Callithrix jacchus: one gene and its partners. The main gene of each other region encodes a partner of the protein of the gene in region 2 in a complex. Links are inferred from orthologs where the notes say so. Each region holds a gene or a part of one and is shown on either strand. Other genes may lie near its edges.

Region 1 (3,500 bases), on a different chromosome or scaffold from region 2:
CTGTTATACCAATCTGTATGCCTTTGCGTACTCGTAACTTAGCTTCCACTTGTAAGTGAAAACATGATATTTGGTTTCCATTCCTGACATACTTCACTTAGAATGGCCTCCAGCTCCATCCAAGTTACTACAAAAGACATTATTGTAATGTCTCCATCTTCCTTCTTTTTTGTTTATTTGTTTAGACAAAGTCTCGCTCTGTTGCCAGGCTGGAGTGCAGTGGCACGATTTCAGCTCACTGTAGCCTCCACCTCCAGGGTTCAAGCGATTCTCCTGTCTCAGCCTCTCAAGTAGCTGGGACAACAGTCATGTGCTGCCACACCCAGATAATTTTTGTATTTTTAGTAGAGACAGGGTTTCACCATGTTGGCCAGGATGGTCTTGCTCTCTTGACCTCGTGATCTGCCCACCTCTGCCTGGCCAACAGCCAGGCCCCGTCTCTACTAAAAATATAAAAAAAATTAACCAGACATGGTGGTGGGCACCTGTAATCCCAGCTGCTCGGGAGGCTGAGGCAGGAGAATCAGTTGAACCTGGGAGGCAGAGGTTTCAGTGAGCTGAGATCATACCATTGCACTCCAACCTGGGTAACAAGAGTGAAACTCCATCTCAAAGAAAAAAAAAATGATTCCAATACTGGCTCTGCCTTGGGCCAGCTGCATCACCTTTAGCTAATTCTTTTCCCTTAGGGTGTGTGTTTCATCCAGGCTTCCATTTAATTAAATATTTTAGTAAAAAGTCTGTGTTCCAGCTACCTCTGCTATGATGAACTTACATTGTCGTATGGGAGCCAAATAGCAGAGTACAGATAAACAAGCCACATACAAAGGCTATGTGGGAAATGAAGACAGAGTGCGGGGTGGGAAAGGGCCAGGTAGTAAATATTTTTGGCTTTGTGGCCATAATCACTCAACTCTGCTTGTAGACAGGAATAGCTAGAGGCAATACATAAATGAATGGACATGGCTGTTTTCCAGTAAAACACTTCTTACAGAAACAAGTGTTGGGCCATGGTATGCTGACTCCCAGACTAATCAGGGACTCTGGACCACATCAGCCTGCCATGCCTCTGCCATCTTCACACATCCATGGGGAGGGGGACATTCAGGGAAGGAGGTTTATGCCTTAAAATCCAAGGAGATGGATTGAACTTGTAGTTAATGGGGATCTCTTGAAGATTCTCGCAGGAATGTAATTTGATGGAAATCTATTTTGTATAGAACTATGTAAAATCATCTGACATAGAAAGAGCCTAATACTCCAGGTTGTCGCTGTTTTTGAACTGTGTATGAGCACTCAGTGACCTGCTAGGAATTTAGGGGGAATTTTTCATTGTTGTAAACCTTGGCAAATCTTCCACTGTTTCTTGTATGCAGTGAACATACAACAAAATTGTGGATGTTGGATTAGAAGCTCCCTGAGGTCAAAGACTTTGTTTTCTTTGCTGCCACATATGTAGTCTCTGGGATGTAAGCATATTCACTTACTTGAATGCATTAATGGGGCAATAACCCTGAAGCTTAAATATGCAAAACGGCTCACCCCTAGGCATAATCTAAAACCATGTCACCTAATGAGTGTCATTTAAAAATATCACAAAGCCAGTGATGCCACTGACCTTGTGGCTTATTTTTTCTCTTTCCAGATGGCAGACGATCAGGGCTGTGTTGAAGAGCAGGAAGTTGTGGATTCAGCAAGTGAAGATTCAGATTCAGTGGATGCTAAGCCAGACCGGTCCTCATTTTTACCAACCCTCTTCAGGTAAGTTTCGTTAATCAGACACTCAGGACCGCATCATCCTGCCATGCCTCTGCCATCTCCACCCACCCATGGGGAGAAGGACATTCAGGGAAGGAGGTTCTTGCTGAGCACGAGAGGTTTGCACAGGTTCTTGCTAGCTGTATGCAGCAACACTGGGGTCCTCATGTACATCCTCTTCTCTGTGGGCCAAGCCCAGCAATGGGCAAAACCAGGCATTGGGAGGCTCCTGCTCAGCAGCTGAGTGTCTGGTAGCAGTTCCCAGGAATAAGGGGCTTTTCTCATTAGAGGTGATTTGCAGGCACCTTCAGAACAGAGCCTGGGCTGCTGCTGCCAGTGGGACCAGGTTTGACAAAAAACACAGAATCCAGGGGCCGAGGGGCAGGAGGTTTTAGGGTGACTCACTCCCACCCTGTGCCTCCTGAGGCACTCCATTGGTGGAAGGGGGCTTGCATCCTATTTTAATTCCCACCTTTTCCTTTCTTGAGTTCACTTTTAAAATTCTAAATTTTGCATTTAATAATATAATAGCTTCATTGATTAAACTCTTGTATGCATGCTTGGTATCATTGCATTCAGTCTACGTAATTGCACAGTTGGTTTTATGTTATCACCAGATAGGGAAACAATTGCGCAGTTGGGTTTATTGTTATCACCAGGTAGGGAAACTGAGGCACTATGAGGTTTAATAGCTTGCCTTTTTGCTGATAGTTAGTAAATGGTAAAGCTAAGATGAGAAACTAAACAATGGCAGCACCACTCACTTAAAGGTTCTGCTGTGTGCTTTCCATTTAAGAGTAGGACTAGCCTGGTACAGTGGCTTACTCCTGTAATCCCAGCACTGTGGGAAGCCAAGGAGGGAGGATTGCTTGAGCCCAGGAGTTTAAGACCAGACTGGACAACATAATGAGAGCCCCATCTCTACAAAAAAAAGATAAGAAAATTAGCAGGGTGTGGTGGCACATGCCAGTAGTCCAGCCACTAGAAAAGCTGAGGCAGGAGGATCAAGTCCTCGAGTCCAGGAGATCGAGGCTGCAGTAGGCCATGACTGTACCACTGCATTCCAGCCTGGGAGACTGAGACTCTGTCTTGAAAAACAAGTTTTGTTTTTTTTTTTAAAATAAAAAATGAAAATAGAGCTAAAAGGATATGGAGGAACCCCAAACCCTCCCTTAACCTTGATCTTGGATGGGCAGTGAGTAGAGCTTCCTAAGAGAAAAGAGGCAGTGTGAGTCAGATGCATCGCACTTCTTTGCATTCCCTAAGCCAAGTCCTACTGGGAGAGATAGCCACGGGGATAAAGGCTGAGGCTCGGGAGTGCTCCCAGGCAGTGCTCAGGAGGGGAGGAGCTGGTGGGAGGAGCAGCCAGGCTCCCAGCACCCCAGAGTGGACCTTGGGTCGTATCATCCCACATAGGACTTGGAAAAGTGGGAGAACCCCAATGCTATGGACCCAGATTCTGTTGTTTGCCAAATAGAGTCAAGAATATCCAGTGAAGTGACCAGAAAATATAGTTCTGACTCCTGAGACTTCACAAAACCATGAGAAATTGGTGCAGGCCAAGCCACTCCCCAGGGAAAGCTCCTTAGAGCAATGGTCTTCAAATGCCTTTGCTTGTATGTCCTCAAAATAATGTAAAGCTGTGTGCTCTCTTATATATTTTAAAATAACATACACATTTTTGTCAAGATAGTTGCAAAAGATGTAACATTTCACTCTTCCCAACCCTTTTTGAGAATTTC
Region 2 (3,500 bases):
AACATGGTGAAACCCCGTCTCTGCTAAAAAATACAAAAATTAGCTGGGCGTGGTGGCAGGTACCTGTAATCCCAGTTACTCAGGAGGCTGAGGCACAAGGGGCGGAGGTTGCAGTGAACCACGATCAGGCCACTGCATTCCAGCCTGGGCGACAAGAGCAAAACTTCGTCTCAAAAATAAAAACTAAAAAAAAAAAATGGGATAATCTGGCGAGGCACGGTGGCTAACAACTGTAATCCCAGCACTTTGGGAGGCTGAGGCGGGCCAATAACCTGAGGTCAGGAGTTCGAGACCAGCCTGGCCAACATGGTGAAACCCTGTCTCTACTAAAAATACAAAAATTAGCCAGGCATGGTGGTGGGTGCCTGTAATCCCAGCTACTTGGGAGGCGGAGGCAAGAGAATTGCTTAAACCCAACAAGCGGAAGTTGCAGTGAGCCTAGACTGTGCCGCTGCATTCCAGCCTGGGCAACAGAGTGAGACTCTGTCTCAAAAAGTAAATAAATAAAATAAAAAATAAATGGGATAATTTGAATGTCATAGATATGATACATAAGCAGTGGATGTTTTGGTGATACATAAGCAGTGGATGTTTTGGTCATCAGAGAAGGCTTAGGTGGGTTTTTTCCTCATTTTTATAAATCTGGCATGAATTTCAAGCCATAGTGAAGGCAGAAATCGTTGAGGCAAAAAGTAATTCAAGTCTCCCACTGCATGCTATCCAATTTGCCTGTGAATGAATGAATAATTGAGTATCTTACCCTGGATACCATTTAGCATGTTGTTCCCAAGGGTCTTCACTGGGCTTCCAATCAGTTAGCCCTCCTCCACAGTGAAAGCACTTTACTTTATCACTGTCACCTAAGAAAACATACAAGAATATATGTATTTGTGCGACTAGAAGCTTACACAAAAATATTCAGTTAACACCTAAAAATTAAGCACATCTAAAAAACATGAAAATCTCACAGCTTAAAACAAGACATTCAAATTCACATCTAAGTAACACTTACAATCTCTATCATTTGAGGAAGAAATACTAAATTCACTGATTCAATCTGAGGTATTTTTACAGAACAAAAATAAAACTGTCCAAGTTTTATGTCAAAATTAAGATTGCGACTTTCTTTTTTTTTTTTTTTTTTTTTGAGACTGAGTCTTGCTCTGCTGCCCAGACTGGAGTGTAATGGCACAGTCTCAGCTCACTACAACCTCCACCTCCTGAGTTTAAGTGATTTTCCTACCTCAGCCTCCCAAGTAGCTGGGATTACAGGCATGCACAACCACACCCGGCTGATTTTCTATATTTTTGGTAAAAACGGGGTTTTACCATGCTGGCCAGTCTGATCTCGAATTCCTGACCTCAAATGATCCGCCTACCTTGGTCTCCCAAAGCGCTGGGATTATAGGCGTGAGCCACTGCACCCAGCATACTTTCTTTTTAGTATGTTATTTGGGCCACCAATATTGTACCTACTGTTTCAAACTGTGAAACTTTAAAACAAGTTATTTTCCAAGTGTTAGTAACATTAAAGTTCTACATAATGGAATTATGAGATAAGTTTCCCTAAGTTTATAGCCACATGACACTAAACAAACCTTCAAGATTACTATATAATGGTACATAAATAAAAATCTTTTGAAATAACCAATATTTTATAGGAATTATTCAATCTTAAAATAAATGGGTCAAATATATAATGGCATAATTTTTAAAAATATCTTTAGAAGCAATTACACCAATGACCCTTCCTGGCATGTCTACCATAGTTCATTTGAAAAGCACTCATATGAAGCACCAAGCATAATACAAGGCAGCTTCCATATATATACTTTGTGTACTAAAGGCAGATGTCAATTTTACTACAGCATGAGCCAAACTAAACTCTCTAATGTTAGCTCTTTTTATAAAGTTATTGTGGGCCAGGCACGGTGGCTCACACCTGTAATCCCAGCACTTTGGGAGGCTAAGGTGGGCAGATCACCAAGTCAAGAGATCAAGACCATCCTGATCAACATGGTGAAACCCTGTCTCTACTAAAAATACAAAACAGCTGGGTGTGGTGGCTCGCATCTGCAGTCCCAGTTAATTGGGAGACTGAGGCAGGAGTATTGCTTGAACCCAGGAGCGGGAGGTTGCAGAGAACCGAGATTGCGCCCTGCACTCCAGCCTGGTGACAGAGTGATACTCCATCTCAAAAAAATAAATAAATAAATAAAGTTATTGGGAAGATAAGCATGGTAGCTCACGCCTGAAATTCCAACACTTTGGGAGGCTGAGGTGGGCAGATCACTTGAAGTCGGGAGTTTGAGACCAGCCTGGCCAACATGGTAAAACACTGTCCCTATTAAAAAACACAAAAATTATACAGGTGCAGTGGTATGTGCCTGTAATTCCAGCTACTCAGGAGGCTGAGGCACAATAATAGCTTGAACCCAGGAGGCAGAGGTTGCAGTAAGCCAAGATCATGCCACTGCACTTCAGTTTAGGTAATGGAGTGAGACTCTGTCTCAAAAAAAAAAAAAAGTGCCAGGTGCAGTGGCTCACGCCTATAATCCCAGCATTTTGGTAGGCTGAGGCCAGCGCATCACCTGAGGTGGGGAGTTTGAGACCAGCCTGACCAACAAGGAGAAATCCTGTCTCTACTAAAAATACAAAATTAGCCGGGCGTGTTGGTGCATGCCTATAATCCCAGCTACTCGGGAGGCTGAGGCAAGAGAATTGCTTGAACCTGGGAGGCAGAGGTTGCAGTAAGCTGAAACTGTGCTATTACACTCCAGTCTGGACAAGAGTGAAACTCCACCTCAAAAAAAAAGTTATTAAAGTTATTGTGGGCCAGGTGGTCCAGTCTGGGCAACAAGACTAACAATCCGTCTCAAAAAAAAAAATTATTAAAGTTATTATGGGCTAGGTGTGGTAGCTCATGCATGTAATCCAAGCACCATGGAAGGCCGAGATGGGCAGATCATGAGGTCAGGAGATTGAGACCATCCTGGTCTTGGTGAAATCCCAAAGAAGAGAAGGGAGGGGAGGAGAGAAGAGGGGAGGGGAGGGGAGGGAAGGAGAGGAGAGGGGAGGGGAGAGGAGGGGAGGAGAGGGGAGGGGAGGGGAGGAAAGAAAGGAAGGGAGGGAGGGAAAAGGAAAGGAAAAAAAGAAAAAGAAAAGAAAAAAAAATTGTGAAGCTTAGAGAAAATGCATGAAGTATACATACTGTGCACATATAATAGGTGCTCAATAAATCAAAGTATTTTATTGGACCCATTTTGTTATTGGAGATGTCTACCATCTTTTGCATGTTATTACTTCCTAAAAACAATTACATGAAGAGAAATGTGACTCATAATATGGTAGTCTTTTTCACATAAGTTCAGTAGTTACGTTACAGGTTCAACATAAGAGTTCACAGAATAAGATGAATATAGGTATAATCATGCCAAATTATACCTAAATATTTACCAGTTCAGGGGGCTAAAGGCATCTATTTACTTTTTAGGAGCCCT
Region 3 (3,500 bases), on a different chromosome or scaffold from region 2:
TCATATAATTCCACAATTCTCATATTTTAGAAGTTCACCCTTGTTTCCTACCATTACGCATCAGTTCCACAATCTCTTCGCGTGTGAGATCGTTTTTATTCCTGACTTCATATTTCAAGTTCATGAAAGTTTCCCTGAGGTTTGCTGCATCCACATCTGTACCAGACCGAGATGCCATTCCTTGGAACAGAAAGAAGCGCTTTTAATTATACTGAAAACAAAGAATAACTACTTTGACATGAAATGAGCTACTCAGCAATTCAAAAGTCCACAATAAATTCTTCCTTTCAAATGAAAGAGAATTCTAACTATTTTGATCATGGTGACATAAAATCTCTTCAATTTTGTAGTAAGACACTTGAAACCATAACCTTATTAGTGTTATAGCCAAGATATCTTTCATAGCTGTTTAGGTAGTAAAAAACAGAAACAACGTACATGTCTAACAATAGGGGTTTGGTTAGACACATTATACTCACTTATATAATGCGATATACTATGTTGTCATTTTCAAACATAAAATTTTGCCATGGGGAAATCATCATTGTTTAAAAAAATAAAACTAGAAAACAATACGATCCTATAATACATACATTTATCTATCACACTCAGAAGAACTGCGTTTCTGACTCTAGCTTCCCAACGGTTTGGAGATAGCATTATAACATTCACAGTGTCTTCAAGGAAAACCCCCAAACGTTGTTACTGCTCATCAGATATTCTGCAGTGGGTAATCTTTAATCCTTCCCGTCACCGTAAGAGCTGTATGATTACCGGTTTCACGTGTGCAGATGTGGGACATGCAGTAAAGTTAACAAACTAGCCCAGAGTGACAGAGTGGTGCTGGGCCTCTATCCAGGGCTCCTGGCCTTCCTACCACTCCTTTAAAGAACCTTCCACATTCATGTACAGATTGACTGCATGACGCACTGAGACTTCAAAACGCTGAAATGTTGGTGGGAAACACACCTCAGAATTGAGTAAATTTGAGGTGTATGAAGACTAGATACAAAAAGTCTATACACATCTCCAAAATGTTGTTGATTATCTCAGCTGTGTGACAAGGTCACTGGCTTCTGGTGCTGGTGTGTTGGCTGCCTTTTTAAAAACTTTTTTTGTTTTTTAGACATGGTCATGCTCTGTGGGCCAGAGTACAGTTCACTGCAGCCTCGACCTCCCGGATCCAAGCTGTCTTCCCACCTCAGCCTCCCGAGTAGTCGGGATCACAGTTGCGCACTACCACACCCTGCTAAGATTTTTCTATTTTTTGTAGAGATGGGATTTCCCTGTGTTGCTCAGACTGATCTTGGACTTTGGTGCTCAAGGATCCTCCAGCCTTGGCCTCCCAAAATGTTGGGATTACAGGCATGAGCTATGGTACCTGGCCCAATCCCAGCCTGCCAGAGATCTCATGAGAACCTGACTTTACATTGCAAACTAGGAAAGGAACTCACTGAGGGCAAAACCCAGATTGCTGGTCTAAATACGTGGGGGAGGTGGTGGTGGTAGAGAAATGATATGCCTGTTTTTGGTTTTTTAAACAATGGATCCAAATGCGAAATTCTACAGGAAGAAGGTATCCTAACTAGATAAACGTAAGGCAGAATTATCTAGAACTAAATTTTCACATATGTATAAAGCAAAAGTAAACAAGGTGTTGTGTTTTTTAAGTTTGCGGTTGAAGGCGGCATCTCAACTTGTAGCCGAAAGCAATACAAGTTCCATTTAGAGCTCCATTATCTCATCACTCCTTACAACTAACCTGACACAGGCCCTGCTGTCTTCCCAGTGTAATCTGGCTTCCTTTCATTTCCACCACGACTCTGAAAGGTACTGTCCTAAATTAGATCTACTATAGCTTCTCTAACTAAAAATTAACTCTAATATGATTAATATGCCAATTCAAAGAATTGTCACGGCATCAATTTAAAAGGGAAACAGCCATAAGGGTCATTTATATAGTAAGTTATGCAAATTAAGTGAATGGTGTATTTTGGGGATGCGGTATTATATAATCGTTATAACAGATATAAAAATTATGCAGCAATATAAAAAATGCTATTACTTTAAGTGAAACAAGCAGAATACAACATTGCTTACATGTTATAAATAAAATCAAGCTTTAAAAAAACTGTCAAGTAAAAATATCAATACACCAAATGTTAATTAGCTTTTTTGGCATTGTGAAGGATTTTATTATCTATATTTCTAAAAAATATATAATTCTCAAATGTAGTACCACATTCGAGTACAGAAACCAAGAGGGGGCTCTATCTGGTGGTCAGGCCATGGTATGTTTAAAGAGAGCAGGTCAGTGGTAGAGACAAAATAGAAAAAGACTCTAGAAGGACTGGAACAAGTGAAGAGTACAAGCTTAAACTACATGTTTTCAAAATTTAAGCAAGAAGGGAAGAAGATAAATATCAAAGGAATTAAAAGGAACAGGATAAAAGAAAGATCTTTCTAAGATGGGCAATCTCTGTCAGCTTCGTAGGGTAAGAGAAGACAGGCAATAGAGCCCATGAAGATACAAGGAGGTGAAGCAGAACAGGAGATGCATTCAGAGCTCGGGCTTTGGAGTGACGCAGACTGAGCTCTGCCACCAGGCTACCTGCTCTGACTGTGCAAGGTTTAAAAACCTCTCAGAATGGAATTGTTTCTTTCCGGTTGTCATACAATTAAAGAAGGCAATGCTTGTGATATGTCTTGAAATTTCTGGGGAAAAAATAAATACTACTACTCAACTGTTTTTTGAAAACCTTCCGTTGGAATCAAAGAGGGAGCAGAAAGGCGAAAAAGCAGCAAAGACTGTGGAGAAGTCAGGACAGAAGAAGCATACAGACAGGAAACCAGCTGACGGGAGAGGAGACAGTTCACAGTGTCACAGTGCATCACACGGCCTGAGCGTGCTGCCCGGTCTCTACTTCACAGCTAGTCTGTGTCATAGTTTAATGACTAATAATACCGCAATACTGCTTTCAATATTATAGCAAATGTAAATGGCACAAATATTTAAAAAAGATTAAACATAATGTAAGATACATACCAGTGCTTTTATGAAAGTTCTTATTATTAATTATTAGACATAAACCCATTTCAGGATAATCCATTTTATAACTGCTGTCCAGGGATATACCAGAGTCCACTGATTTGCTTCCATGTATGATCTTTCTGTTTAAAAATCAAATAATAGCTTTACAAAGGTAGAAATGACCATGCTTTCTGTTTACATTAGTGCAATTTCTATAACTCACAGTAACAGTGAACACTTGTTGAGTGCTATAAACCAGACTGTCTCCATTACAATTTCACATCAACACATGTTCCACATGAGCAAATGACCTGCCATGAGGCTAAGAAATGTGCCAAGATTGTGCCACAGCCAAGAAGGAAGGGAAGTATCTGCTGGACTTCCGAGTTCAGGCTTTTAGCTTCCATGTTTTACATTTTCCTCTAAATTCTTAAAAATTTCACCAAATACCTTTATAATTTAAAAATTA

What was found.
Region 1: the proteins of XIAP (region 2) and CASP7 are in contact, whole or in part, in a crystal structure (PDB 1I51), measured with the Homo sapiens proteins. The link is inferred for Callithrix jacchus from reciprocal best matches to the Homo sapiens genes XIAP and CASP7. Residues at the interface, in NP_001158.2 of Homo sapiens: His136, Ala137, Leu140, Leu141, Gly144, Gln145, Val146, Val147, Asp148, Ile149, Ser150, Asp151; in NP_001218.1 of Homo sapiens: Tyr230, Trp232, Arg233, Ser234, Pro235, Gly236, Arg237, Trp240, Glu274, Ser275, Gln276, Asp279, His281, Phe282.
Region 3: the proteins of XIAP (region 2) and CASP3 are in contact, whole or in part, in a crystal structure (PDB 1I3O), measured with the Homo sapiens proteins. The link is inferred for Callithrix jacchus from reciprocal best matches to the Homo sapiens genes XIAP and CASP3. Residues at the interface, in NP_001158.2 of Homo sapiens: Ala137, Leu140, Leu141, Gly144, Gln145, Val146, Val147, Asp148, Ile149, Ser150, Asp151, Thr152, Ile153, Tyr154, Asn226, Leu231, Gly232, Arg233, Asn234; in NP_001341706.1 of Homo sapiens: Tyr204, Trp206, Arg207, Asn208, Ser209, Lys210, Asp211, Trp214, Gln217, Lys242, Thr245, Glu246, Phe247, Glu248, Ser249, Phe250, Phe252, Thr255, Phe256.

Annotation. Positions count from the first base shown.
Region 1 is NC_133513.1:106,634,765-106,638,264, forward strand, and holds part of CASP7 (caspase-7), read left to right. Parts: intron 1-1,645; coding exon 1,646-1,761; intron 1,762-3,500. UniProt on the Homo sapiens protein: Thiol protease involved in different programmed cell death processes, such as apoptosis, pyroptosis or granzyme-mediated programmed cell death, by proteolytically cleaving target proteins.
Region 2 is NC_133524.1:119,628,224-119,631,723, reverse strand, and holds part of XIAP (E3 ubiquitin-protein ligase XIAP), read right to left. Parts: intron 861-3,500; coding exon 761-860; intron 1-760.
Region 3 is NC_133504.1:6,755,016-6,758,515, reverse strand, and holds part of CASP3 (caspase-3), read right to left. Parts: intron 3,172-3,500; coding exon 3,047-3,171; intron 181-3,046; coding exon 52-180; intron 1-51. UniProt on the Homo sapiens protein: Thiol protease that acts as a major effector caspase involved in the execution phase of apoptosis. Following cleavage and activation by initiator caspases (CASP8, CASP9 and/or CASP10), mediates execution of apoptosis by catalyzing cleavage of many proteins.